Caenorhabditis elegans: one gene and its partners. The protein of the gene in region 2 interacts with the protein of the main gene of each other region in a pairwise test. Each region holds a gene or a part of one and is shown on either strand. Other genes may lie near its edges. The genes, in order: fozi-1, tbx-39, irx-1 and ceh-23.

What was found.
Region 1: the proteins of tbx-39 (region 2) and fozi-1 interact in a two-hybrid assay, tested with the Caenorhabditis elegans proteins (one large-scale study listed by BioGRID).
Region 3: the proteins of tbx-39 (region 2) and irx-1 interact in a two-hybrid assay, tested with the Caenorhabditis elegans proteins (one large-scale study listed by BioGRID).
Region 4: the proteins of tbx-39 (region 2) and ceh-23 interact in a two-hybrid assay, tested with the Caenorhabditis elegans proteins (one large-scale study listed by BioGRID).

Annotation. Positions count from the first base shown.
Region 1 is NC_003281.10:9,278,970-9,286,455, reverse strand, and holds the start of fozi-1 (Formin-homology and zinc finger domains protein 1), read right to left. Parts: upstream 4,676-7,486; 5' UTR 4,523-4,675; intron 1-4,522. UniProt on the Caenorhabditis elegans protein: Acts redundantly with hlh-1 to promote body wall muscle cell and coelomocyte specification in postembryonic mesoderm progenitors, probably through suppression of sem-2.
Region 2 is NC_003282.8:15,320,550-15,327,152, forward strand, and holds tbx-39 (Putative T-box protein 39), read left to right. Parts: upstream 1-3,343; coding exon 3,344-3,540; intron 3,541-3,592; coding exon 3,593-3,779; intron 3,780-3,833; coding exon 3,834-4,640; downstream 4,641-6,603. Other genes in the region: Y73F8A.15 (DUF38 domain-containing protein), read left to right, coding at 1,072-1,237, 1,429-1,631; tbx-40 (Putative T-box protein 40), read right to left, coding at 6,390-6,603.
Region 3 is NC_003279.8:9,534,650-9,544,052, forward strand, and holds irx-1 (Putative iroquois-class homeodomain protein irx-1), read right to left. Parts: upstream 6,318-9,403; 5' UTR 6,237-6,317; coding exon 6,216-6,236; intron 5,684-6,215; coding exon 5,222-5,683; intron 5,022-5,221; exon of another isoform or gene 4,882-5,021; intron 4,627-4,881; coding exon 4,267-4,626; intron 3,767-4,266; coding exon 3,556-3,766; intron 2,550-3,555; coding exon 2,470-2,549; 3' UTR 1,816-2,469; downstream 1-1,815. Other genes in the region: C41G7.7 (uncharacterized protein), read right to left, coding at 235-346, 393-413.
Region 4 is NC_003281.10:7,836,108-7,843,230, reverse strand, and holds ceh-23 (Homeobox protein ceh-23), read right to left. Parts: upstream 3,640-7,123; 5' UTR 3,638-3,639; coding exon 3,565-3,637; intron 3,325-3,564; coding exon 3,152-3,324; intron 3,099-3,151; coding exon 2,701-3,098; intron 2,138-2,700; coding exon 1,864-2,137; 3' UTR 1,740-1,863; downstream 1-1,739. Other genes in the region: ZK652.8 (uncharacterized protein), read left to right, coding at 1-21, 216-316, 401-437. UniProt on the Caenorhabditis elegans protein: Probable transcription factor. Required for differentiation of AIY interneurons, acting downstream of LIM/homeobox protein ttx-3. Modulates gene expression, acting downstream of AMP kinase aak-2/AMPK signaling. Modulates lifespan.

The DNA of each region.
Region 1 (7,486 bases), on a different chromosome or scaffold from region 2:
GCAGTAGGTTTCATACAAAAATTGCAAAAAATGCCTGTACAGCGAATATAATTATAAAACTATGTTTACAGTAATCCAGAGGCGCATGTGCCTCATTATTTATTCATAATGATTATAATAATAATGACAATGGCCACATGCATGATAATAACGGATCTCAAGGCTATCCTACTCGGGTTACTGTAGATTTATTCAACTGAGAAAAAAACTAGACATAAAATGTACAATTTCTTTCCTTAAAACTGGCGCACGCGGCGGCGGCAGTTCCATTGAAATAAGCATTCAAATTGGAACTGACTTTGTACAATGTACTAGGCTATACAATTCTCGAAGTAAGGGGAGTTGGCTCTACTTTTTCCAATTTCCATATACTTACAGTGTGAACGGTGGCTGCTTCAGTTTGATGTGTTTGTTGCAATGGAAAAGGGATCTGAAAAAAAGTGAAATGAAATGAATGGCACTGAGTTGTACAACTTGACGATTGGCAGGGAGAATTGCGACAAATAAGAAATACAATTTTTTATCGAGAATTTTGGAGTCGGACCCACACGTCAATAAGTGATTTTGAGAGTTGGCAGAATAACAGTAATTTGTAGCGAAATGAATTGAGGATTGTTATGAAGGTTTGATATTCAGAAATTTAAATGATGACAAAAATGGCTTAAGAATGTAAGACGTTTTCTTGGGGAACTGATTTTTTCAAAGCTTAAGCAACTTTCAACAGTAATAAAAATCAAACTCTTCAAAAATTATACAGTACATATATTTTTTAAGTCAACTCAACAGCTACATCTGTAGTTCAAACCAATAATGTAGAAACAGTTGTCCAAGCAACAAAACAATCACGACAAAATGAACAAAAATGTGAGCTTTTTCATGAAGCAAAGATACATTACTAGGCGTGATTGACAATCAGTCAGAAAAACGAAAGATTCATGGAGTAACTACAATACTAGTCATGCTCTACTCCCCAGTTTGTATTCAGAAGGCGGACGCGTCACAGATTCTGACTAAACTTGAGAGAAGTTGCCAATTGATTGAACAAAAAAAAAAGGAAATATGGGGATTTGAGATTTTAAAAGAAGTTGAAAGACTTTTTTCAGCTAAGGCTTAGGCTTAGGTTTAGGATTAGGCTTAGGGTTAGGCTTAGCTTAAGCTTATGCTTAGGTGCAGGTTTAGGATTAAGCTTAGGGATAGGCTTAGGCTCACCCAAACACATATTGCCAAAGTCCTATACACAACTCTCCCTGCACAGTTGCTAAATTTACACTGAATGCGCAATAGAGATGTTGCCAACGTGTGTGATTTTACACCATTTCAAATTTTACCAAGGCACGGCGCCTGGTGTGAGCTCACCAACTGACGCCCCTAGCTCCAAATAGTCAGAAGTTGGACGGCTACCTCCTTCAAATTCTATTTCATTTTTCAAAAACAATAATTGTTTTTCGGTTTTTTTCTTCTTGTTTAGACGTATAAGGAAGATGCGCATTTTAGAAAAAAATATAGAGACAAGTATCGTATTACCGAGAAATATTAATCATGTTTTTGAAAATGGGCGAGTGTTCACATCTTGAGAATAAGTTATTCGAAGAGAAGGGGCCTCCAATTTAACTTTTGAATTAGTTATTACAAGGAGGCAAAACATTGGATCTTCGAGTTTTTGTTTTGTTCACTACTTACAGGTAAAAGAAGATGACTAGATGAAGCTGATGAATAGTTGAGAGGTATCCTGAAAAACACAAAAAATAGGTACCGTAGGTGTAAAAGTAATGAGTTGGTAGCAAAAGCCGGCAGAGCCCAATTGGACATCAGGCGCCGCCCCTAAGTGGAGCTGAGTTGGCAGCACCACCATGATTCAAAAACAGGAGGAACAATAGGAGCGAGATATTGGAGGATGAAATTTACATATGTGTCAGTGATTAACAACACAAAAGTAGTTGATTAGCAAGTTAATATGGTATGAATAGAGCGTGTGATAGGCACATTTGTTTGCCGGAGGAATAATTAGTTTCATAACTTTTGAAAAATTTTGCAGTTAACTCGGTAGATGGGTGAGATGGAAAGTACATAGTATTAAATTGGAATATAGATAATTTTAAGATAGTTTAGGTCAATAGAAATATTTTATTTCCCAGAAATATGAAGCAGTGAAACCAATGAGATACTTCATAAATTTTATTATTTATGTTTTTTTAAAGGAATAGTACGAAAATTTGAAATCTTCAAAATAAACCGAAATGTAACTTTTCAAAGTGAAGTAATGTAAGGAAATACAGTAACTTTTTGGAAATTTCTCTCAATCATGGTTAGAAAATTTAAAATTCTCACATTATTTTGGCGTGAAAATTTTAAGTTTAGACTTCATAAAGACTACAGTACTCATTGCAACTGAGTGTGAAATTATCAAGCAAAATGAGAGTTTATATGGGTGCGAGATTCGCGGAGTTATGAGCCGTAAAACAACTGTGAAATGAGTGAAAGTTGATGGACGACTCGAGAGATCATTAAAAGTTTGATGACCTCTCAAAAAATGGGAAGTTAATGTCGAAAAAGTGGGGGAAGAAGGGAGGAGACTCGATGATTTTTGAAGAATAATTTCATTGAAATTTGTGAAATCTTCGATGAAGCTGGATAAAATTTAAAGGGCTTCAATCTTCTTTTTAACCAAAAAAAATATAGAAGACCCGACACCAACTTGATACGTTGATAGGTTTTCAATTTCGTATGAGATTTTCAAAATTTTTGAATCCAAGGCTTAACTGAATAGGATAAGGCCATCGTTGTTAAATATTAGTCGCGATGAAAACTGACTAAGTAGGAGCTTAGCCGATTAGAAATTGTGTCGACACGTGGATATGTCCATGAGGTCAAAGTTGAAAATTCGAAATGAGGAAGTAGCTAGTACGAAATAGCAGAGTAAATTTTGACTTTGTTACTAGAAACTTAATGTTTAAAAAATTAGAGCCTTCAGTTTTAGAAATCTAAAAAATATGTTTTTTTGTGGTTGACTTCCATCCATCATACTCGTTGCATTTTTGAAGTGCTTTTTGAAGTTTGAGTTAAAAATAATTTTAGATTATAAAAATGTTCAATCAAATCTACAATTCCTCACAAAAACAGTCATAAAACCTGCTCAACTTTTTCTAGATTATTTTTTTACTGGACTTAAATCAGACGATAAAGCTAAGAAGATCATATGCTTATCAAAGATCCAGTAACACTATCGAAAAAACTCTTCGTTAACATTTGAAAAATACATTCAAAATTGCCGTTAAAAATTAAAAAAAAAATTTCGAATACGAAACCTCCACCAGAAAACAATGGGAATAACAAATCAGAGATGAGATACGGTGCGATTTTGCTGGAATAAAAACTCAACAAACAAAACAAGTTCAACTTATGGTAATCTGGTCGGGTGGATCTAGGATAAAGCTTAAAATGAAAATCTTTGGCACGATGCGGTTTTTGGAAAAAAATAATTAAATTGAAATTCATGAACTTTCAGGGGGACAAGGTAAAACTGAAAATTACGTTTTCTAGCTTCTAAAAAATGTTATAATTTGAGTGGCTTATATCTCGATTTTCTTAGGTTTTTATCAAAAAATGTTCCACTATCAAAATATAGAAAAAATATTTTGCACGTATTTTGTCAATTGACAGTTGTTTGATGAAACCATTTGGAGCCAAAACTGTCAAAGTTGAGCAAGGTCTAAGACAAGTCTTTTTTAGAGAAATATGGTATTCAAAAAGTTGAGTAATCATTTTAATTTTCAATTTTTACGCAAAGTTACTTGCACCTACCGTAAACTTAGATACAGAAACCTATTATCCAGAAAATACTTATTTTTTTGGAACAAATGAAACTACATATAGAAAATGTAAAAGTATTCCATGGAAAAAAGACAAAAGTTTTGAAAATTCAGGTGAGAAAAATGATCGAGAACGGTGAACGAAGCTGTCGATAAAGCCGAAAAGCTGAGAAAGTTTAGAGAAAATGGAGGGAAAGCGGCGAATCGTTGGGAAACTAAGGGTCCACTCTTTCCTGGTTGCCACGCCTCTTTCGTCACTTTCACCTTTGCGCCCCTGGTGCCTGCACCAAAACAACTGCCATCGAAGTAGATGGAGGTGGAGAGAGCGACGGATATATGTACAAAAGAAACATCAACGAACACTAGGGAGGGCTAAAAACAAGATTTTTTCATTCGATGGCGGATACTTGTACCAGAAAAACGAAGGAAAGAGAAGCATCAGCGAAAGTTTCTGTTACTTTATAGTAATTGGGTTGATGATGGCAAAAGAAGCTTCTGAAGCTTCAGAAGGTGAAAAGCAAAACAAGAAAACAACATAACAAGAAACTAGAAATTTCAAATCTACCACAGGCGTTGGCCTAAGTCCAAATGTGGCTCTAAGGGGGTGTCCATCTCTATGCTCTCGATATGTCAAATAAAGAGAATAAGAAGGTTGAGCACAGGAGCTCCTACTCCCGTTTTCGCACATTTCTCAATACGATCACACTCCTCACCTTTTCTTTGTGTCTATGTCATTGTGTGTACAGGCGCAGGCGGCCGGAGACGAATCCCCACCAGCGTCTTCCGCTGATTGCGAACGGTTTCAGAGAGTGAAGTGGTCAGTTGGCTGGAGCACGTTGGAGAAGAGGTTGTAGGATGCTCTGAAAATACAAATTAAGGAGAGATGAGATTTTTTGAAAACGGGGGAGAAGGGTTACGGTAGCTTCTAACATTGAAGATTTAGGTTTCTGAAAAACAAAAGTTTTAAATTTAGAGCCAAGTAAACTTTTCAAAAAATGTTTTAAAATGGTTTTTTTTGCAATCACTCATAATTTCAGATGTTGAACATGAAAATGTTCATTTCTGCATTGCTTCTATACAAGGCAGGCTCGGTTTCAAAACATGGCGCCTGCCTGAAAACTGGCTTCCTCACACCATCTTCGCGCATTTTTCTGAACTTTTTTTTAAATTAAGAAATGACGTTTTGGCGCCTACATGAACGCTCTAAACTTCTGCAACAAATTTTTGAAATTCAAATTTTTTTAAAAATATTTTCATTTGAACATTTCTTTTTTACCATTTTACCTAATCGTCAACTGAAAATTTCAAAAAATCTAAACAATTTACGAAGATTTTGTTTTTCTACCGTAACCTATTTTTTATACCGTAGCCTATTTACTCTAAACTTTTCTAGCTGAAATAAAACTGAAAAAATCTTAAAAAATTGTTCAAATACAGAGAACAGCGAAAAAAACCACCCTGTGGAGAGCATTTCAAGCAAAAATAAAATAAAAATCTGTCACAAAGCTACTATAACAAGTGACAAATTGTGAAAAATCTGGATATTATAATGGATAAAATAAGCTATCAAAAGTTGTAAACCACCATTGGATGATCCCTGGATGTTCTCAAAATCTCCATTTTTCAATCACATTTTTCATAATCTTATAGCATATAGAGCTTTGATGTTAAAAATAGTAGGAAGTTACGGTATGAGCTCTCTGGATGTTTGGAAATGCTCAAAAAAGAAATCGAGATCATTTTGGATCAAGATCATTGTTTTCTTTTCTCAACCTCCAGGCGCATTGACTCTTCTCCCATACAAGGTCGAGAGGTGGCTCCCGTTGTGTTCCGAGTTAAGCTTGCACACACCTCTCACTCTTGCTTGCAATCTATATATGTGTTTGCGTATCGTTTTCTTCTCGGGGACGCCAAGTCCTTTTTTGCGAAACAAACAGGAGACTATAACGACGTGTGAGCCTGCTGCTGTTGCGATGAGAAGAGCAAAATGGGATCGCGGGGGAATAATGCGACAATCAACGCGAAAAGTTGCGCGCGCTCATCTTCAAGCCTCGCTAAGCCCATGGACTCGATGACAGACACCAAAAAAAGCTCGATGAATGGGGGAAAAAGAAAAGGTGAATGAAAAAAAAAACAACAAACGGGAAAACAAAAATGAATAGGTGTGAACTTTGAGCAGGTAAAGATTCTAGAGAAACTAAGAAAACAGTGGGAAAATTTTCGGAAAATAAATTTGAAAACTGTAGTCTGTAGAAGTCCGATTCTTTCGAAGAAATGTAAATAATTTCAAAAGGTGAAAGTTCTTATTTTTAAAGTTTTAAATCAAGAAAACTCATAGCGCAAGCTTTAGCTTTTTTCTGGTATGTTGAAAGACACTGAAAATGTTTCAAGTCTGGCAGGGATAATACGGTATTCCAAGGTAGTGCTACCCACAAAAATCTCAAGAAAATAAACCATTCATTGTAATCTCGAAAAAGTCAGCCTAAAACCTAAATTCTAGTTCTGAAAATCTCCAAAATCCTAGACACATATCCACATCTGGTTTGAACTTCACGCAATCATTGTTCACTTTCACGAGACGCAGACCACTTCTCTCCCCCTTCTTCTATCCCACCCATTGAGCTTATTTTTTGTTTGTATAAGTTTGTTTGTTATCCGTGTGAATTACACGAAAAGACGGATTAAAATCAGATGGTAATGAGAAATAGATACGTATGGAATCTGGAAAGCTACCGTACTCTAAAATGAGCATTTGACAACTGTGTTCTCATACAGGCGGCGAACACGAAACGGCATAAATTGTCGGCGCTGGGCGATGACCATGTGCCGAGTGTTTTGGAAAAAACTTTAGCGGAACGATTAAACAAACTTTTTGGGAGGAACTAACGAGTGCCCGCATGATGCACTTGGATTACTGTATAATTCGAAATTTGAAAAAAAAAAGTGGAACACTGAGTGGACTTAGGTTTAGGGAAAATTTAATTCCGGATTTTTTTCTCAGGAAATTTTGAATTTTTCTGAAGATTTTTTAAAATTAAATTTACTAGTCTGGGTCTTTCGGCGAAAAAATGTATAGTCTACAGTCTTTTGGGCACCAAAAAGTGGCCACCAACAATCAAAAGTTTTTGTCATAAATGTCTTTCTCGTGGCGGGACCCATCTGAACTTTAAATAATGTTTCAGAAAATTACAAAACTGCGATGTTGTTCCCTCCAAAAAATGTTTCCAAATCATTGCAAAGACGTAGATTAAGCTGTAAGATGTTTAGAGTTAGGACTATTCGAAAAATTGTGAAATCACAAAAAGCAAAATTTTGGAAAAAAATAGCTGGCACTGTAGTAGATCAAACATATGATTCTTTAAAACTAACCCCGAAGCAAAAAGTTATTTCCGATTACATCAACCTAGGAAATTCCGTACTTCATAAAAAAAGTATCAATACTCATTTCCTTTCCATTTGAACTTATGCGTGAAATTCCTTAGTGAATAAGTGAAACCTATAATTGTTCAATGTCAGACCCGAACATTTTGAAATGCTTCATGAACTATCTGTGTTTTGAATGTGTTATCTACGCATTCGCAAACCAATTTCTCCTTTTTCCGCCACTTAAAAGCGAACATACGATGGCAACATCATGTTGCTTCTTTTTCTGAAAATAAGCAAAAAGAACCAGCCCT
Region 2 (6,603 bases):
CGGGAAATTCAAATTTTCAGTAAAAAATATTTTAGCGGGAAATTCAAATTTTCAGTAAAAAAAATTTTGGCGGGAAATTCAAACTTTCAGTGAAAAAAATTTTAGCGGGAAATTCAAATTTTCAGTAAAAAAAATTTTGGCGGGAAATTCAAATTTTCAGTGAAAAAAATTTTGGCGGGAAATTCAAATTTTTAGCGAAAAAAAATTTTGGCGGGAAATTCAAATTTTCAGTGAAAAAAATTTTGGCGGGAAATTCAAATTTTCAGTGAAAAAATTTGGGCGGGAAATTCAAATTTTCAGTGGAAAAAAATTTTGGCGGGAAATTCAAATTTTCAGTGAAAAAATTTGGGCGGGAAATTCAAATTTTCAGTGAAAAAATTTGGGCGGGAAATTCAAATTTTCAGTGAAAAAAAAATTTGGCGGGAAATTCAAACTTTCAGTGAAAAAAATTTTGGCGGGAAATTCAAATTTTCAGTGAAAAAATTTTGGCGGGAAATTCAAATTTTCAGTCCAAACCTATATCTCTTCAAAAGACAAAAACACAATTTTTCCTAAACTACAGTAATCCTACCGTACTCCTACAGTACTCCTACAGTACTACTACAGTACCCCGCCCATATCCCCTACTAACCCCAAACTGATATCCCTCCAACAGCCGAAAACGCCTTGCCTTTGTAAGCTATGACGTCACTTCTTAACAAACGGACACTATTTTTTTATATATAGGTAATGATAATAATAGTTAATGACATAAAAAAGATACTGTACTGTTAATATTAAAAATAGTATGTTTCAGCTTTGTGACAAAAGGCCAACGTTTTTATTATAACCATTAAGCACGGCCTCTGTGAAATTAAATAATAATTTTGAAATTTTAATTGAAAAATTGTCCGCTTCAGAAGGAAAAGGAAAAAAGTTGTTTATGAACAAAAATTCGCGTTAATTTTTTTTAAATTTTCACGTAAACCCGTGATGCTCTGGAACTTCCAATCACGTGGCTTCTGACCACGACACTTTACTCAATCAATTCACTTCAGTTTTCATAAAACAACACTCTCCTTGTCCGCCAAAATGGGCCTCTTTGCCAGTGCTCCAGTGGATGATGGTTCCATGGAAATCGTGCGAGATTTCATTCAAAATATGGAGAATGATGCTCAATCATCGAATAAAAGTGCATTTGCTGACTGTTTTATGGATACTTTCAATTTTAATGTTCGTGGGAGGATTTTTACCAAAGGTGAGTTTTATATGACTATATTCTACGTCGGAAAGGGAATGGTTATTCCATAAAGTGAGGTCATATAAGCAGTTTGTGAAACATTAGGAGCAATTTTTTTGTTGAAAATTCCAGGTTACCAAGTAGTTTTTCATAGTGAATTTTAGAATGTTCAACTACTAAATACTCTAATGATTGTTTAATTTTTTCAGCTCTATTCGTGGAAAGCTACCTTACCAAGCCGAATCCCGAGCCATTGATCCTCAAATCATCGATTTTTACTCAAGGAAAAAATGAAATCAAGTTCAATGTTTCACATGTAGTTGGGCCAAGAACCAATATTGCTGATTTCTATCTATTGCGTGAAGGAGAAGAAGGAAAATGGAGACTTAAATCTGGAATTGTTATCAATTAATATTCCATTGTGATGAATGAAGTAGTACTTGATTAGAATAAAGAAGTTGCTCGAAAAGAATTTTTGTAAAGTTCTGATAATTTTTACTGTTTCTAAACGTTGGTAAATCTAAACGCATAACTTGTTGTTGATATTAATATGAATTTTAAAAATGATTTTTTGATTCCAGTTCCAATCAGAAAATATTGTTGGGAGAAAAACATAATAATTGCAAAACATGGTGACAAAGTTATCAGGACATTGAAACATAATTTTAATTTCAGCATTAGTTAATTTTTCGGAAAAAAATACAATTATATGCACATGGAATTAAATAGAATGGCTACTCAAAAAAATTCTGTCTTTAACTTTATCAAAATTGTTTATCTACATATTGCGTGTTTCACTATAGTAATTTAAAACACTCCGTAAATACTTTTGTATTACAATTTTAATTTTAATGTCAACATGCATAATATGCTCAATGATCCGTTCAACCTGTATTCCTTGATTGTTTTTGGATATTTTTGAATTTGTCAGCTCAATAGTTTAGTTATGTACATATATATCTCAGTAAATTGTAAACCGAAGCTATATTCTTACCGATAGAAAAATATTCAAGAAAAAAGTAACTTCTGTTGGGATTTTAATTAATTAATTCATATTTTCGAGAATAAATGTGGCATATTTCACTAACATCAATAAGGCCACCAAACAAATTGTCTTACTCTCATTAATGCAGCAAATGTATCACAATGTTGAAACAGCAATTTTTATTTTTTTTTTAATTACAGCTTATTAATTCTCTCTTTAAGAATGTGATGTCTAATACATATTTACTAATACTGACATAGTGTTTTGCAGAGCGGAGTAGAATTTTCATCCAAAATAGAAACTTTTCAAATAAATCCTTTTCTGTCTGAAATTTTGTTATTAAAATAACGTTTGCAATGAAATGTAAACCTATCATTTTCTATATTTTCAATTTTGTAAAAGTATACACTTTCTCACTTTTCTGCTTATTATCTATCAAAAGACTAAATATATTTTCCCAGTACATAAAGTTTACAACCATTTGGATTGTCAGGTGTGTGTCCGGAAATCGATCGAAAAGGAATGATATGTCAAGGAGAAGGAAGTAGAGTTGTAAAGTGGTGGATGTTAAGGTGGGGGATACCTTGCACCTATTGTCATTATGTGAATGACAATTGGGAAGAATATAGGTCACCAGTGGAACTGTAACGTAATGTTTTGGAATAGACAACTTTGACATGAAATATTAATATGTGAAAAGGTAATCTGGAATAGAGAAGCACGCAGAAAATTGACACTACAAAATAAAAGTCTAAATGTGGATATCCTTAAATAATTTGCTTTGGATCGGGTTTTAGTATTTTTATTTTAAATTAGTAACTCGGGCGTTTTTATCAAATGCGGCAGCACTCAAAAAGTTACTGTTTCAATATAGTGATTAAAAGGACATCACTATATAAAGTACGATTTCCAGTTTCAAACAGTTTTTGTTGAGCAATTCTAAGAGAGCAAGTGAATACAATCAATCGATAATTGGTTGACTCAACCCAGTGCTCAGGCTCCGCCCACTAAGTGGGGTCTAAAACATTAAAGGGATAGAGAGGATCATTCATTATAATATTTTGTTTAGTATACCGTTTTTTTTCTTTCATACTTCCTATTAATATATGTTGATTTTTTTTCAATATTCAGATTCAATAATGTTTTCACAAGCTCAATTCAATGTTACAATGGCTGAAGAAGACCGATGGAAACAATGGTATCCAAATATGGAAATGATTGTGAATAATAAAGGGCCGAAACTAATTTTTCCCGAACTCAACTTCAATATTACTGGATTGGAAGAGAAATCGAGATATGTTGTACTTCTTTCAATTGAAAAATATGACAATATCAGGTATTTTTTAATGATTTTCAAAGTCACCATTAAAGACAAATCTTAATTTCAGATATGGATACCGAAATGGAAAATGGGGACCTTCAAAAGTCCGTCATGCAACGAAAAAAGAACAAGAAATCAAATATTTCTTACATCCAGATGGAACAAAACTTGGAAAGGAATTGATGAAGGAAACTATTAAATTTGATACAGTCAGGATTACGAATCACAAAAAATTCATGGACAAGGATAATGTGGTTAGTTTGAATTTTTAATTCACTAAATAATATTATAATTAATTTTTATTTCAGTTTTTCGTGGAAACAATGCACAAGTATGTTCCAGTCCTCACTGTCAAAAATATCACGAATGTTGAATCTGCAAATCATTCTATGAGAATGGAAGTAGCCCAATTTTTCCCAGTCACAGTATACAATCAAGAATCGATCGGAAATTGGAAATCTAAATTTCACAAGAACTCAACATATGGAAATAGATTGGATGGGGGAAACAAGAGAAAGAATACTGATTCGAGTGAAGAGCGAACATCAAAACGATCAAAAAATGAAACAGAAATTGCTGTTTCGGATATCCTTCAAGTTGCCTCACAATCAGAAAATTATAATGAGTCCACGAATTCTGGAAGGCTTCAAAATGAGATCAGTTCCTCTATTCACCAGTTCCCATCAACTTCCTATCAAAATCAATATCCACATGCGTATCCAACAGTCAATACTCCACCAATTTATGTTCAGCAATTCACAGCTCTATTTGATGAAATCCACAATCAATTCGATCCGAAAACTAAACAAAATAGGGTTGCAAAAAATGTTCAGTATCTTTCAAGTGTACCACAATTTGCGATCAATCAAAAGGAAAATATTCATCAGAATGCTCCAGATTACCCAGTCTCTCAATTTCCAAATCAATATCCATATGGTTCCTATCCCTATTATTATCCATATTTTCAATCCAGCCAACAGTTTCCACATCTCAACTATTCCATGAATAACTCTATTTATTCTGATTCCTCTTTCCAGTCATCATTTTCTGCTGAAAATTCATATTTCGATGAAAATGGAAATCCTATCCACTATCCATATTATTCTAGCAATTAATTGTCACTTCTTCATTACTAACCCTTGTTTCCTATTTTTTTCAAATTTTCCTGTGATTGTTTTGACTTCTCTGTCCATATTGACTTTAGCTCATTTTGTTTAATTCTGTAAATTATTTCTCACCTAATTTTCTGTTTCTAGTCGCAATAATTTGTAAATCAATTTTCTTTTAATAAACTTTTAACACTAATCTTGCTTTACCGTTATGATAAAAGGGCTCAGAAATTCATACATTATTCATTTTCAAAATTAAACATTGCACTATTAATCCACTATTGAATAAAAATAATTGCCAAAATTACAATTTAATATTATAACGTGATGGCAAAGTTTTCTAAATGCGCGTCCAATTTGTTTCATTTCTGCAAACACCGCGACGACAAATTGCATACCGGGTGTCAGGGCGGGCGTGAGGGGGGCGCGGGAAAGAGGCGGGCGAAGGGCGCCCCCGACACACCTCGCCCGGATGGAAAGCCTATTATGGAGCTGCTTAGCAAAAAAGTTTGCTTTTTTTTTTATTTTAATGTTTCAATTTTGATGAATCAAGTGTGGAATAGAAACATAAGCACATCATTTTTGCGTGTCAAATTATTCCGAATTTCGGATATTAAAATTTGAAATTTTTCAAATTTTTCGATTATATTGTGGGCCGCAGATACGTAACTTTACAAAAAAAAACAGGAAATATACCAACTATGTAAAGCAGACGACTTTTCCTGTCGTTGATTTATTTATTTTTTGGTACTTGAACATTAAATTCCCTCACTTTCAAAGTTTATTTTTTGAACAATGAAAAATATAAACTTTTTTTGCTGCTAAATTATTTTTTTTGTGGAGAATATTATTTTTTGAAATTGAAACTATTCTGGTTATTTAAAAAATTGTATTAAAAAAAAACTGTATCAAGTTGTAAATAATTGGATTGCATAAAAACTTACTGTTGATAATAAAAATAATAAAAAATAATAATAAAAATTCAAAGTTTCCTGTGAGTTTCTTGCCTTCTTTCATTTTGTTTTATTTTGTAATTTTTTTCTGACTTATTTTACTGTTTCATTCTCAGTTCTTTATGAGTCAATTTTCCAGTGAGTAAATATCAAATTGTACTCAAACTATATGAAAATATATCAACAACTTGAAGCAGACAAATGTTCCGCCAGAGAGTCAACCAACTTTTAGAATTAGAAAACCTCAATCTTCCTTTCGTAGAATTATTTATTTTTTTGAAACCATGAAAAAATAATTGAGGAAACAATTTCTGCTCGAGAATGTTTGTATATTTCTACAAATAATTTCAAAAAGTACGTTTTGTTGTGGGGAACATAATTTTGAAATTGAAAATACTCGATATTCTGAAAATGAACGTAAATTTGGAGAACACTACTGTTTCGAGTTTTAAGTAATTGGTCAAAATGAAAACTTACTGTCGATTATTTTGTCGAATTTTTTTCCTGGTAAAAACAGAGTGCGTAAATATTAATTTTAGCATTTTTAGCAATTTTTGCAAAATAAAAGTGTTCAACTTTATTAATAGAAATGGAAATCAGATACGTAAAAATTGAAAATAAAGAAAATAGATCAGAAATTGAGAACCACATAAAACAGTATAAGTAAAAATTGAAAAAAAAAGTCTAATGTATTCACAGGAAAGTGTTAGTTGGTTTTTAGAGGGGAAATATGGAAAAAAAAACCGTGAAACTCACTGGAAAACATGATAAGGAGGTACTCATACAGAAATGAAGATACAAATTATTTGTAAGGATAATAGGGATAATGAATTGGGTTTCCATTGTCATCAAAATACGAATTTTCAGTAGAAAATGATGACTGGAAAGAGGAGTCGGAATTGATGGAGTTATTCATGTACTGATATGGAGATCCATGATCAAGCTGAGAATATTGATGGTAATATGGATGATATGGATATTGATTTGCAAAAGAAGCCTTTTGATTCATCGCAAAG
Region 3 (9,403 bases), on a different chromosome or scaffold from region 2:
AAGTTTTGGTAAATTTAAAAAAAAAAAAAAAAAAAAAAAAAAAAACATTTTACAAATTGTGACTTTTTGAGGTATTTTGAGCACTTTTGAAGACTGTTGACAATGTGTGAATAATAATACTTGAAAGGTAATTGAAATATGAACTAGAAATAAAACAATTTTTTTTATATTTGCTATTTACAAATTTCGGGAGTTATATAAATAAATAAAATCCCATTATAATGCATTGATTACCATTATTCCATGGAGGACGGTTATCCATAGTTGACTGGCTTTGACCATTTTGATGAGGTTTTCGGCTTCGAGACCTTTTTCGATCTTTCTCAATACCATCCCGGTGAACATCCTGAAAATTTAAAATTAGTAAAAATTAAATTAAGCGGGTAACTTACATATCGGTCAACGTTTGACATTTTTGAGATGTTTTTGAACAAATAATGAAAAAGAAAGAATGGTGAAAGGATTTCTTGAAAAATATTTTATGTGCTCAAATGCGCAGGATGTATCCATAGAGACAATTCACTTGCTCATGCTTTTCCAAATTGTATAGTCATGAATAATGGAAAAAAGAAAGAAACTTTGAAATGTTGAAGGATAAAAGCAAATACAGCATAGAAAAATACCACATTTTCAGGTATTTCAGGTATTGATTTCTACAAGTTTAATTGATAATAGCAAGTGTTTAAAACAGTTAACTAAAGATTTGAAAACATTTTGAGAAGATTTTTTAATTTTCAAAGATGCAAAATGAGATTCCGGTATTGTGCCTAAATATTTTTTCTTTTTTTTTTGTATTTTGGAATAATGCGATTATTTCAAACGATTTAAAGCACATTCTGCCTTTATTGCATTATGTTATCTGAAATTAGAATCCACGATTAAAAATTATATTTTTTGAAACAGTTCTAAAATGTGGAACATTAAATATAAAGGTGGCAAATTTGGTTTTGTCTCATTTCCAAATTTTCCAAGAATCCAGACAACACAAATTCATTGTTTTCTAAGCTTCACCGATGTTTGTTTAGACGTCGTTGTCGTATCTCATTTTCAATTAGGCGTTTACATGGGTCACCGAGATGTGGAAAAATAAAGAGAAAATGCATGTAATTCCTTGTTTTTAGAGATATGGTGTGTGTGTGTGTGTCTAATGAATGAAATCTGCTGTTTTTGTTTTCACTGATTCATTTTTCACATTAATTTGAAACTACGCTTTGTAAATAGTAGGTCAAAACATTTAACAAGACAATACATAATCTGGAATTTTTTTATCAAGTGGAAATTTATTTATTTTATCAGATTTTTTAAGAATCATGATATTTCTTTTTAAAAAAAGCTTCCAAAATGTACATATGTCTACATTTACACATCCCCTAAATTTCAAGAGGTCGGCAAAAAACAGTAATGGGAAAATAAACTAAAAAGACTTCAATTGAATTTTTAAGTGGAAATTTAAAAAAAAAACGCTAAAACGTCTAAATATCATTGTGAACCTTTTCAGAAATTTTTATTTACAGCCAAAATGTGGTGATAACTTAGTTTTACCAATCATAATTTGACAGTCGACCAAAAAAAATATATCATCAACCAGTTTTATACGTTTTTAATTTTGTTTCTATAACCATTTGTGTTTTAAAAATTCTATGTTTTTGAACATGAAGCAATGCTCAAAATTACTTTAAAAGTGCACGTTCTTGATAACCGAAATGTTGTCACTAATTCAGCCTGCAATTCTTTGAAATGGTTGCAGTATTTTGTGCAATTAAATGTATATCCATTTTCATGATTTTTTGTTAGCTTAAAATATATTCAAGAAATAAATATTAAACCTTCTTCATTTTCTAAATTATGCGTGCAGGTTGTTGTATCTTTCTCACAAAAAACTGTAAATTGTCAAAGAAATGAGATGGGATTGTAAGAAAAGTGGGTTTGCGTGAAGAGATTTGAAGCGAATTGGTGGGAAAAAGCAAGAAAAAAAGAAAATTGTTTCTAAAGTACTCCAATTATTGGCGGGAAATTGAGAAAACCGATCATAAGCTCAAAAACTAGATGCATCCTGTGAAAAATTGTGTGGAATTGAAATAATAATAATGTTAATAATGTGAGAAAAAACTGGGAGAAATTGGGGGAAAAAATAGAGAAAGAGAGACAAAAAATTCATAGTCATGGAATTCATATAAAGTTTAAAAGAACATAAAAAAGCAAATGAATGAGAAAGAAAAAGCCTATATGGTGCTACAGTAACCGAATGAAATTTTTGATGGGATGTGAATATTTGGGAGACAATACTGTACTGTACATAGAGAGAGACCAAAATAATCGAAACTTAAATGGGATGGAGAAAAAAATGAAATTCAAAGACCCGCTGTTTATATCATATTTTCTCGATTTCAGAGTTCTTAGTGGAGGAGGTGAAACTTTGAGAGAGTACAATATTCATTTAAAAAAATTAAACTTAATAAGCTGGGGTTTCTACTCTTGGTGGGACCGTGGAGACGACGTTGGAGAAGATGCTGGAGATGGCGTCGACGTCTCCGCTTGAGAGTTCAGACCTGAAATTATTTATTCATTAAAATCAAGGCTTAAAAATTGTTCAAAGATTTTTTAAATATTGTATATTGCAATAAACCTAGGCACCAAGTCAATTAAGCTATATTTCAAAAGTTTTTGAAATTTTTAGTTTTTGAAAGTTTTAAGATTGAGTTGTGTGAAAAATGATCTGATTTTTTGAAAATTATTAAAATCTCCAAAAAGCTTTCAGAATGTTTTTTGCATCTAAACAACCTTAAAATCACTAAAATAATGTAAAATCCGGATTTAGAGCAGCTTGACATGCTTGTATTTGAAGGAATGCTCTGAGAAATTTCAGTTCAACGTTTCAAATAAGACTAGGCTTTCTAGTTTTTCCCCATATTGGTCAACTAGAATTGCTTTTACATGTTCAATAAGTTATAAGAAAGTGTTTCCCATCAACTATACGAACGGATCAAATCGGCAATTTATCATTCGGTGACTTGACTCCGGGAGCAGCGCTCCTTTTTTGGACAAAAACTGAGTGACGAAGAACACGCGGTTTAGAAAAACGAGCACACTAATCCGTGGGGTCAATGAGGAGACACTTACTTCAGTTTAAGCCCTTTTTCGTTGCCTTTGACGTTTCGAACAAAATTATTACATAGAAAAGAACTCCTCTTTCTGAGCTAAAACATTTGAAAAGGATCTAGAACTTAAGTGTAGACCCTCTTTTGTTAATGCCTATCTAGAAGCTGTAGCTACTGAACTTTCCCCTTATAATGTGTATCAGAAAACATACACCTATTATCAGTAAATATGGGATGATTAGTGCATTAAATAGCAAAAAAACTGAGCGTCACGACAGGATAACAACTTTAAAATTAAGAGGATTACGTTTCGACTTTTCTTGTTCATGTACAAGCACGCACGGTGTTCAACTAGCTGTCAATCATTCGGAATACCCAAAAAAAGAATGATAAGAAAAAGCAGACAGGTTGCCATGTAACAAAATGTAAGAAAAGTGTATTCACCTGCTCACCTCACCTGCTTCATTTGGAGGAGTTGTTTGTGGTGCCAAAAGTGCAAGTTGTTGCCCTTGAGCAGCTTGTTGGGCTAGAAGTTGGAACATGAATGGGTGCATTGTGTGACGGAACAAAGTTGGATCCAATCGTGCCATTACTTCCATTTGTTTTTTCATTGCGTTTTGGAACAAGCTTCCCGTTAATAGATTTTCGTCTGATGATGGTGGAGAATCCTAAATAAAAAGATGTTTGCTAGGGGTTACCATTATTCATCATCTTGAACTAAATTACTTCACTTTAACAACTTTATGAAAAATATAAGCTGCCAAAAGGCACTGCTGTATGCTTCAATGTATCTTCCAAGTACAGTAACCCATGCCTAAACTTTACAATATGACCCCCTGATCTCCCATCAATTCCTTAATGTACTTTATGAAAATGTATAAAACCATCATTCAATCATGTTTGTTGTTAAAGCGGCACAGTTTTGTCGGCTGCTTCACACTCACCTCACAAGTTTGCACATACACACATACAAATGATTCATACTAGTTTACATCTCTATAAAATGTGCAGAACAAGATGAAGGGAGAGGAGGACTCTTTATTTGCCCCTACTAAACATATAATAGTTTTTAAGTCCATTTCGTAAAACTGTTAGAATAAGAGGGAAGATGGGGAAAACTATAAAATCTGTACAATGTATTTTATGATCTAAACTTTTTTGCTCTCACCTTCTTTGATGAATCGTCATCTGAAGTGACATCGGCAATCGACCACATTTTTGGTTTACGCTTCGGACTTTCAGAATCATCATTTGGAATTGGGGATACTAGTTCTTTCTTCGGTGTTGTCAACTCATCTGATCCTCCAGATCCTCCCGAAGGCGTTGGTGATGCTAGATGTGGCTTTCCGAATAGGGATTCTCCTTTTCTTTCGGAATTTATGGATGTTGAGCTTGATGGACGGTTCATGTCATCATCATCGTCGTCTTCATCGTCATCACAACCATCGCCTCGTCGATTTTGTGGTGACCAAGTCATCTTGTTCTCCTTCTTCAGTCGTCTTCTGGCGTTAGCAAACCATGTCGAGACCTGTAATTAAAAATATAAATTTCAAGCTTCGGCTTTGTTTTTCGGGCTAGAGTTTATTTTAATAAAATAACTTCAAAGTTTTGGTTCAAACAATTTTAAAATCTAATTTTTGGCGCCAAGGTTGTGTGTTGTTGGTCTATTGCAACAAAATCAAACAAGTAGTAGCCCTATTTGGTTTGAAACATTTCTCGTATTGTGTAAAGAATGTCTCTCGAAACACATTAATTAAGCGGGGTACGAGGTGTCATCATCATCGCTTATCGCCTCTGTACATCTTTTGTTTCTCGCCCCTCTTTTTTTGGCATCGGTCAAAAAAGGAGACATTTGCCCCCGGGGTTTGATGGCCGGTGAGTGGCTAATGTTACAATAACACTGCGGGAAACACTGTCTACTACATTTTACAACAATATTTTTTGTGGTATTTGTAATTGATGACTAGAGGCGGCTCTAAAATCCCGTGTGAGCTAATAAATTGAGCAAATATTGTGGAGTAAATTACGAGATTACGGTTGGTAATAGGCTATTACGGCTATTAAATCATTTCACAGTGTTGCATTTACTAATTGTTGTCAAAACAAGAAATAATACAACATACCTGTGTAAGTGTCATTCCTGTACCAACTGCCAACATAACTTTATCAGCTTTTGATGGATATGGATTCTTTCTATGAGAATGAAGCCAATCTTTGAGTGGTGCAGTTGCTTCTCGTGTTGCATTTCTTTTCTTGATTCCATCTAAACCATATGGATGATATAAACGATGAGCATCACTGAAGAACATGGGCATCGGTCCTGGCCCTCCACCTAATAACATTTCTGGTTTCAGATCTGCTGGAATTCCATGTGGAAACATCGGAACTCCGGGGAAGCCAGCAAGAGTTGCTTGTTGAGCGGCGGCGGCGGCTTGAGCTTGAGCAGCGAGAACTTGAGCCATGGCAGGATGGAAATGAAATTGACCTAAAAGGTTTGGTGGCAGAATTCCGCGAAGTGCATCCGGAGCTGAAGTGGGTGGAGCAGGAGTCGTTGTTTGTGGTGTTGTGGGCTCTTCCATTTTGACCTGGAAATGGATTTACTTTTCTAGTCAGGTGAAGTGAAGGTATCCAAACGAATAAATCTGACATTTGGCATCTAAATTTTTTGGAAGGAAGTATTTTGAGACTGTGTTCAAATGTTGTCTAATCTAAGATTTATGTAAAAATTGGTAGGAATCGAAAACGAAAACCTTGTCCAAGCTTTGACAACTTCTCAACTGCAATTTTCTATATTAGACTTGCACCCCCCTCTTCCTTCACTTTGACAGTTTATATCTCAGTTCTTTGTGGTTTTATTAAAAAACTTCAAACGGACAATTTACTTGCAAAATAATTTTCTATGTTTTGGTTGTATAACACTTTTTGATAAAGCTGAAGGCAACCGAGATATAAACCGCCAAGCAGTGGCGGTGCAAGGTTAACATGGCAATTGGAAAGAGCAGGAAGTTGACTCCAAGTGTCAAGAAGGACAAAAATGAAATAAATAAATGTAAGAACACTACTTGAGAATATAGAAATTATAATTTAGCTTATTAAACTTATCGCTTAAAAACTGACCTGATTGGCAATAGGAATCATTGTGATGGTGTAGTAGAAGTAGATGTGTTGATCTCAGTACAAGTGCAGAAACAATAGTTGATAAGTATGATTATTTATGATCTGAAGAACACATTGATATCAGTTATAATTCCAGAGCAGTTTTTTGTTGAAAAAGATAGACAGAGAGAGTGAGAGAGAGGCAGAGAGGCGACGAAATCAAGAGGGAGCAAAGGAGGAGCGATTCAGTGATAAGCATAGAAGAGAAAGAGAAAAGGTTTGATTGATAATTCTTGAAGAAATTGAGATGATGTAGAACTATGTGGGACCTTATGTTCAACAACTTGTTGAGCAATCTCGATTTTCTGCAGATGCCCGCCCGGGGCCGTGTGTGTCTCTCTCTCTCTCTCAAGTCCCGCCCACCATCCAATAGACATGGAAGCCACAGGGCGGGGCCTGGAGAGTAGGGAAAGAAATTGAAGAAGCGCAAAAAACACGTGCGAACACGTAGATTTAACAAGATAAACCGGAGAAATTCACGAAGAGAAACGGAAAAGAATCGGAGTAAAGAGAAGTAGAAGAAGATGATGATGAAGGATACAAGAATCGAACGGAAAGAAAACAAATTGATGATATGGCAACTAAAAGAGATTGAAAGATAAACAATTAACCGTTCCAGCTAATGATTGTAAGAATGATGATGGTTTTGATATCTTACTATTTCATTGTTTAGTGTTATTATTTCCAAGTTTGATTCTAGAATTGTTATTTTTGTGCAAAAAAAATCTTTCGAACCTAATACCTCTCTACCTCTACCAATTATCAAGTTTGGGAATGAAAATTAAGAAATACAAGAACCAAAAATCTCAATAAATGTATTCACAAGGACGAAGAGCAAACAAGTTGTAAATTTGCTGGCTGGCTCACGAATGGAAACTGAAAATTGAAGCAAATAACGGGAAGAGGAAGCTTTGGAAGGATCATTGCATAGAGTTTAATCCGAAATATTGGCAGGATGAAGAGAAAAAAAGTATAAACATTTGAAAGTTAAAAAGTAAAACGACGGAAAATCTAGAGAGTACTATCAAATGACCCGAACACACAATGGCGCCACGAACAAAAAAAGGACAAAGGAGAAGAAGCTGAAATCAGTGAACTTAAGTCAAGAATGATACATCGTAGAAGCAATTAGGTAATGGTCAGAACGGTTTGTAGGGGGACAAGAATTGAGAGAATAGAAGTTTAAAATGGCATGTCTCTTGTTGTCCGAAGCGGGGTGTAAAGAAGTGTAGCTGCTGGATAGGGGGCGCCGGCGAGAGTAAGTGGCCAACGATGGCGCTGATGACGATGATGAAGAAAAAGAAAATGGAGAAGAAAAAGGTAAAAAAAGAGGACACGGTGTAATACATTTACTATTGTGTCAGTTATTGTGTTAACATCTCTCTTTGGGTCATTCGATCATTTAGTTATTACAACATGTAACAACAACACATATATAGTAACATAAAGTTGCAACAAAAAAAGTTCAATGGCGGAAGTTTGTACTAATACAGGAAGATGTAGGTACATATGAGCCAAACAAGACAAAAAGGTGTATGGTAGGGAGATTGATGTCAAACGATGATGAGAAAGCGATGGAGGAGGAGTCATTGGGCGGAGTCAATCGCCGGGGGAGGAACACGGGAGGTAGGAGGGTGTAGACATGAGGTCGCGGCACAATTTATGAGGAGCTGGAGCCAGAAGATGATGAAGCTGTGGAATTGAAGTAGAAGAAGCAACTAGTTAATGGGTTTTGGTGCTTTCCAGAGAGCGGTGTTGTTTTTTGTGAAAACACTGCTCACTTTTTTGTTAAATACATGGAATACGGTAGTGGTTGCAGAAAGGAAATACTTGGAGGTAATTAACGGAAAAGTTAAGCGTTCCGTTTAATCGAAAAAAGCGGGAGAAGAGTTGAATTCGACGGTGAAGAAGAAGTTGAATGTACCCAAGAGATTGAAGAACATTTGTTGATTTTTAAGAACTTCCAAAATAGTGGTTTTCCTAACTCATAAATGGGGTATTTTTCAACGAAGAAACTTGAAATGATCCAAACACGCAAGGCTTTTCCCTTTTAAAAGTTTAAAAGCTTCAAGCTAAAAACATTTGGTATAATTTTTAGGGATTTTCTTTGCCGCCGTTGTTTTTTATAGCTTTGTCACTAAAAAAATTTAAAGACCGTTAATCCAGAAAAATCAAGAGCAAAACCTGCTATCATAAACTTTTCATCGCGTTTTTTTATGAAAATGAAAAGTTTCTATATTGAATTTACTACTTGAATACCGAGCATTCGGATTATTACTTTGTTTTAACCAAGAGCAGATATAGAAAAATTGTCTGCCAGTATACAACTCTATTAAAGTTGCAATAATCTCTATGATACCCATAATATAAGTACGAGAGTGTTTTTGAATACATTGCCATATCTATAATTACAGTTCTTATTCTAACAGCTGGTAGAGACACCTTCTTGCCATTGTACCAAAACACATCGATCAACTCATACATCATGACACGTGTCTACAAAAAGGGGCATGAACTGGAAGAACTTTAGCAGGTGGGATATTTCAGATGGTACAACAATATATCTTAATCTGATCTTGCTATATAATATGGAAATTTATGTCATGTTATATACGTGGAACAGTAACCCAACTGTTAACATCGTCAATACCTGTAGTAGGAATTGATGAGATAAGACTGATACGCGGGACGATATATATTCATAAAAGTTGGTATTTACGAGAGGGAGAACAATCTAATATCACATTGTTTTTGCGCAAAGGAACATGAATTGCCGTTGTCGAAAAACGATGTATGGAGCCGAGGGGCGCAAAAAAAGTGAAATTGTGTGTTTTGTGTATGTTTCCTGTACACGAAGAGCGCGAGGAAAGAAATGTTCAAACACTTGACAATCCGTGTTAACGATATGTTTGTCTCAGATTATCGACGCTTAACACAGTCAGAGTGATGGGAAAGTGAGCATTATCGTTCGCTCGTTGGCACCACAACTTGTATTAGATGATCAAACTACAGTAATTGAGCACAAAAAGTGTTCTGTACCAATTGAAAATTTCAAACTAAAAATTATGGAAAATGATTCGGATGATTCAAATCTGCTTTGATGTCATTATCAACCGGAAAAATCGAAATGATTGTGTCCGTTGACGCAG
Region 4 (7,123 bases), on a different chromosome or scaffold from region 2:
GATAAGCGAGTTGATATTGATGTGAGTTAAACATTGGGTACTGACTTATAAACGAAAAAATCGTAAAATTCCAAAATACTAAATGATATAAGAAAGCTGCCGGGTGGAACCGGATGGAACATTCGGTAGCTGAAATATTTGTTCATTAGTATCCAAAATGAAGCAGTATTTGATTCCAACTGTATACGCCTAGAAGAAACTTAATATAATTTTAGTGCCAAATGATTCGATTAGGATCTGAAGTGAAGAAAAACGAGACCTATGTTCAATTGGCGTGCATTGATATCGAAAGAATGGAGCTTCGTCATGAAATCAGGTAGGTGCCCGAAATCTACATTAATTTTACATTAATCAAAATGCTTGGCTTTTTATGTACATATGTAGAATAGTTTTGTTGCAGATGGAAGAAATTCCTGCAAAACAATCCGTGCAAGTAATATCTACTGCAGCAATCCTTCTTCATGACCATTCGAGGCATTCCACGTCTTCTCAACTTATCCTCGTTCCAAAAATCAAAGTCCTTTGTTCTGTGTTCTTCGAATAATTGGATAACATAGTTGATTATAATGTTTTTTTAAAATTAAACCTAGATCAATGTTTAAAAAATATTCAAATCAACTCAACATATTCCAATTCTGTAACTAGTATCCCCGTGCTTAAACTCTTCCACCACCGCGTCCTGTAAAAGTAGCTGGTTTCCCATTCCGTTGTTTCAATAGTGATATAGTGTTGGCCACTTCCTTTTTTATCCACTTTTCCTGTTTTAGGCCAGAAATCTACGAGATCTTCTCTTTCTTTTTTATTTTTTTTGTTTGTTTTTTCTTCATTCAATTAAACTTAATCCCATTTTTCCCTGTCCCTGTCTTTCATTAAAATATATACATGGCTTGAGGTTTGTTTCCAATTTTTGTCATCTCTTCTCGGCTCATACTTTCTTATGTTTCAGAAGACCCAGACATCTTTCAGTCTCCCCGTTTTGTTTCTTTTTTTATTTTCAAAAATCCTCACAGCAAATTTTCTTTCTCATATTTTTAATTTCTTTTTCATTCTCTTCTAAAATATTACTCAAAATCAGTCAATAAATGTTCAGTTGGTTTTTTTTTGGTTTTTAAACCATCATGAAATGGCAAAATCATGGCGGAACATGGAGCTAAAACTTGAAAATTTTACACTCAAATTGTCACTTTGAACCGTCCAAGAGGCAATTGAAAGCTATTTTTTTCTAAAACACTTGTCTAAGAGAATCTGTATAATTTTTAAAATTTGTTGAAATGTAGAATTCCAAAGACAAGATGTTTCTCAAACCAATTTTTGGTTGGTGGCATAACTTGAATTTTATCAGAAATTTCGATTAAACACACAATTTTTGGCAACTTATCACACAGACTTTATTTATAAGTTGTTCAATGTGGAAAATTACGGTTTGTTCAGTGGAATTTACTGTTTTTTTTTCAAAAGTTGGTCGTATGCAAAATTAAATATATCCACAAAACTTCAAGGACTCGCTAAATTGCGTATCTTCAAACTGGCGTATCTGGAAAAATACACGTCTAAAAACCAAATGTTCAACTAACAAAGTGATCAGAAATATTTTACCTCTTGTTCGCAATACTTTTTTTGTAAAATATTGATTATTTATTGAGTTAGAAAAAATTGAAGCCATTCGCTAAGCTTTCTTGTAAGATTTCACATTTTCTTTGAAGCACCGAACCATTTCCTGATAACGTAACCTATCAAGTAAGTTCACATAAAACTTTATTTGTTTAATGCTTTATAATCAAGAATATACACATTTTTTCTAATTATTTTCTAAAACAGAATATGGCAGGAAATAAACAAGTAAACACGAAAAAAAAAATTAAATTAATTCAGAACTTTTACATCATCTTCATCTTCTTCATCATCTTCCTCTTCATCTTTTCCAATTTCTTCAGATTTTTCTTCTAACGTCGTGCTCTGTTGCTCCTCTTGTTGTTTCCTACGATGTTTGCTTCTCCGGTTTTGAAACCAAATTCTAACTTGAGAAGGTGATAGGCCAAGGCGTTGAGCAAGATTTTCTCGTTCTGCTCCGACTACGTACATTTGTCCTTTAAACATATCTTCCAGTTGTTGAGTTTGTGTTGTACCGTAGATTGTTCTGAAAACTTTGAATTTGTTTGATCTTTAGTTTAGAATCTTAAAACAATCTTCTTCAGCTTCTTACTGTGGGAACCAACAATTTCTTTTCAATTCGGCACGTATGAATTATCCCACGAACTTCGTTTTGCGTCAAAGTTATATTTTAGATTGATTAAGAATTTCTAAAGATAAATAAATTATATTTTTAAAAACTTCAAGTCAGAGGCCAAAAAACTTCCTTTCGGAAATGAAGTAAATGTTTATTTCGTCAAAGGATTTGATAAAGCTTATAAAATCTTAAATGAGTCACCTGATGGTTCTATGATTCGTTGACAATTTTTCTGACTTTTTTTATGAAAGTTTTCTGAAACTGGTTTGTTCAATTTTTGAGGCGAGAAGCCAGTATACAAGTATATTGTGCTCTTCTTCTCGAAAAAAAACGCCACAGCTTCAAAGAAATGTAAATGAAAATTTGTCAAAAAGCTCTTTTCTGAAAAGCTGCAGATTTTGTGCTAAAGATTGATAAAAAGTTGATAGAGTATGCTACAAAGATGTGTCATTTTGCTGGTTTATTCTCCTTACCTTGCTTTTCTATGATTTGCTGCTCTCCGACTATGTGCCATACTATTCATAGCCAAGGGAACAGCTCCCATTAACGCCGCATCTAATGATCCTTGAATTCCTGAAGTTCCAGCAGCTGGAACATGTTGATAATAACATCCAGGCATTCCGGGTAGTTGAGAGGTTGGAGGCATCAATTGTGCAAGTTGTTCACGTAGCAGAACCTCCATATTTGTTTCTGAATAACGTCGTCGTTCTGGAGAACCCGTAGATGGGACTTGAAGCGTGACGGTTGCTTGAGAGGATGCAGGAGGTTCTGGGCAAGAAGCCCGACGGCTTGTTGTTGCAAAAAGTGCATTTGCAAGAGCTTCGACAGCAGATGGATTGGCTTGCAGGAGAGATGGATTTGGAATAAAAGGCTGAAAATACAAAAGGGGTTAAGAGGTTTTTTGAAAATACGAAAATCATTCACCTGTGCTGGAATTGTTGGCAGTATTAAAGAATTGGCTGGTTGTGATGGTGGGAACAAGTTGACACGTGGAATTGTAGCCGAGAAGGGAAGATTCGGTGAAAGCATTCCAGTTGATGTTGAAGGTATACAGGATGTGGGACAGGCTTGTAAAGCAGCAATTGTTTGAAGAACGTCTGAATTCATAAAATGATATGTCAGCCATACAGCTTCTCATCTTTCTCGATTTTTGAATAAGTCTAACAAATCTTATCATCATCATTCCCGAAATCAGCTTATCAGCAATGAAAATCGGATGATTGTCGTGTTTGACAGATGGTTTTCAGTCATGAAATCATTAAATGGTGTGGGGGAATGCGATTTGGATATTAAGGAGCTTTGTGTAAGAGCACATTTCAAAATGGATTTGATGTTACCTGTTAGAGATGATGAAGACACAGGCAGCGGCGTTGAAACTGGCAAAGTTTGGAATGGAAGATGGGTGTCCATCTAGAAAATAAAGATTAATCAAAAAATGTAAAAATGTTGAAAAATGTAAAGAGGTAAAAAATTAAAAGTTTGGCAATTGTAGAACTTACTGTTCTAAGTTTATCAGATCAAGTTGGACAAAAACAGATTCAAACCATAAATTATCTAAAATTACTGGGTGCAATAAAATGCTGATACCCCTGAATGGTAAATTATAGAAACTAAAGTTTTCACTATTGCAGACAAATTCAAAAACGTGTGAGTCTGGGAATATGAAAATACACTGCTTCTCTCCAATTACCAAGGGATGTGAACGAATGATCAAAGCTCAAAATTTACCACTCATTAGTAGATTATAGTAGTCATAGTAGTAGTAAAAGTAATAATAGTAGTCAGTGTGTTGTGCAGGTATATCAGTGTAGATATTATTAAATGAGTCAGACGAAACAAAAATGAAAAGGATTAATTTTTAAAGATCAGTGTTTCCAGGAAATGTTGAAATTGCTAATCGGATTATGAAAGATGAATGGAATCAGATGGGAAGACGTAGATAATGAATGTCTGGAGGATTTTATTTAATCACATTTTTGCATATCAGAAATGAAAAAGTGAGAATTTAAAATAAAAATCTGAAACTTAATTTTCCTTCTCGATTTCTGCAGCTGCTCCAATTTACTACAACCTATTAGATTATTTTCAACAATTTGAGTTTTAAGTGTAAAATTTTTAATTGGTGAAAATTTCGAAAGTTTCAAATATAAAATTGAGAGCAATCGAATTTTGTGTCTAACATATTTCTGTTAGTCAGATATCAAAGCTCACAGGCTAATGTGCTTTAAAGTTTAAATATGATCGAACGTTATACATATTTTACATGCAAATGGAAGCCAATTATTTGTCATTTTCAAGGAAGTCTCAATGTTTGGAAAAAAGAAGATCAAAAATGAAACTAATTTTGAGGTTTTATGGGAATAGCCATGAACATAAATTGCTCTTAATAACGTCTAATACCACAAAAAATTAAAACACTTGAAACTGCTTAAATTTAAAAGATTGTACCACTGTTCGTTTGTAAGATAACTGCGAATCTATAGAAAAAAAAATCAAACAAATTATTTATCAGTTGACAATTTTTCGATAGAACGAACAAAAACTACGACAAACGCTGCCAAAGTTTAAGAGTAAAGTGCATTACTACTAGTGGAAATACGGTACTTGTTTTGAAGGTTAACATAACTATGGTATCTCAAGGTTTGTTATTTTTAATGCAATTTCTAAGAATTCATACTTTTCTCCACTGAAACACATGTTAAAAACTTGCCACTATCATATTTTGAACAATTATGTAGGTACCTAAACCTGATGTAACTAACTTTCTGAGAATCAATACAGAAACATTAAATACCTACCACTTTCCTTCAAAAAAAACTAAGAATATGATTTGTGGGTTTTCTGACCCGAAGCCGGAATTATGAAACTTCTGATTCAAATTCTTCGCAGGTCACATGTTTCATTTAAATCAGAAGGTCGGAGCTAGAAATTGGAAAATATCTAAACAAATAAAAAATACAAATATTTTCAAAGATTATGACACAAAAAATGCACCCAATCATAACTATTTGATCACATCACAGCTTTAGAAAACAATCTTTTATATATCCTCAATTTTTAAGGAGAGCCCGCCCTCTTAGCCTTTTCTAGCAAAAAAAGCGTAGATGCTTAAAAACGGAAAAGGCGGAGCTATGTAGTTTATCACCTTCTGATGATGATAGCTTTGACGATGATTATAGTGATAAAGATCATTTGTTCATCGAATAATCGCTTTGGGCGGGGGGAGTGAGAGGATTATCCGGATTGAGCCGAGTGGATTCGATAATTAGTTGGAGCGTCTTAAAACTTTTTTGACGTGATTGGGAAAAAAAGTCACAAGTGGATAAAGAATTGGATGATCTGAAAGGATTAAAAATTATTCGAAATGATGACGTGTAAATGTGCAATGAGCTATGTACTGTACATATGCATGAATCCTTAAAATTCAGATTTAAGTTTCAAAGTTGTAAAACCATCAAATATTGGTTTTTTATATTTGAATTCAAAACCAGGGGTGTGGCAAATCCACAAAAGTGCCCACTTTGGTATGATAATTTTCTGTAAATGTAAAAATATCTGATTGATTCGAAAATATTGTTTTAAGAACCTCGAACAATTCGCGATTGAATAACAAATTTCCGTCAGTTTTTCAGATTTTTTTGGGTTTTTCAACAATTACCTTATATTAGGCAATTGCCGGCAATGCAAGTTTTTTTAAAAAGAATACTTTAATATTTATTTTTGATTTTAAAATGTATATTATAAACTATAGAATTTTTCGGTGGGGACATTTTTTGAGTATTTTCATGTTGATTTTGGGTTCTTTTTTCCGAATACCACAGTTTTTTTTTCAATTTTTTCTACGAAACTTGTGTGAAAGCCATTTTTTATAAAATTCTAAACTCTTCTCAATCTTTGGTGGCATTTCATTTTTTGATTAAATTCTTTTTAACCTACGTAGATATTACGCAAAAAGTTTTTAAACGCCTAATTTATTATCAAATCTTTTCTCCGCTCTAGTAGATCAAGACCTAATCGAATTTTTCCAACAAAGTGTGCTTGCAAACATAATTTTTTCTTCATCTAGATTTTTGCTCTCAAATCCCAATTTTCCACCTGCCGCCACTACTTTTATGTCTAAATACACACACCCAAATAAAAACACACTCTCACACTAGTAACTGAATAATTTTCTGATTCAATCCAATATTACGATTGAGACCTATGAGATCATGGCTTACTAAAGGAAAAACTACGAACATTCACCTGTTTTTTTCTCTAATTTTACTCCATTTATTCATATTACGAGTGACGAAATAATTAGTTTTAATGAACAAATAATTCGGGTGTTTTTTAGAAAAATGTATCTTTGGAAAATTGAAAAGTTCGGAAACTGTTCGTCGGAAAAATATTTTCAAAGCTTTATTTGAGAACTGTCAGGCTGCTCTAGAATGCGGCGAACTTCTTTAAAATTATTTAATAGAAACTCCCAGGCACGTAGGCAAAGTTCTATGTATGTAAATCCACTCTTAATAAATTCGGACTAGAATGAATGGGAACAGTCAAAATACTAATAGTAAGAGTCCAGTATCCTGAAAAAATTGCGCTAATTATATGCCAAGTTTGTGAGATTTCTATGGAAAAAGTTTGAGACTCCCACGCCACGTCATATCTTTTCCAAAAAATATGAGGAAAATGACGTCAAATGATAATGAAGTACAGGGCAACTTTTGAAATTTGCGAGAGTTGAAATACGTATAGTTTGCCGTGTGGGCGGCCACACACCTAGAAATGAAGATTTTCGAATTTTGGCGAGGTTCAATTTAATGAAAGATAGGATTCTGAACTTGTGCTGACTTTCAGGAATAAATTTAAAAAGTTTCATTTTAGCGCAAGAAAATCCAGTGATAAGTTAAG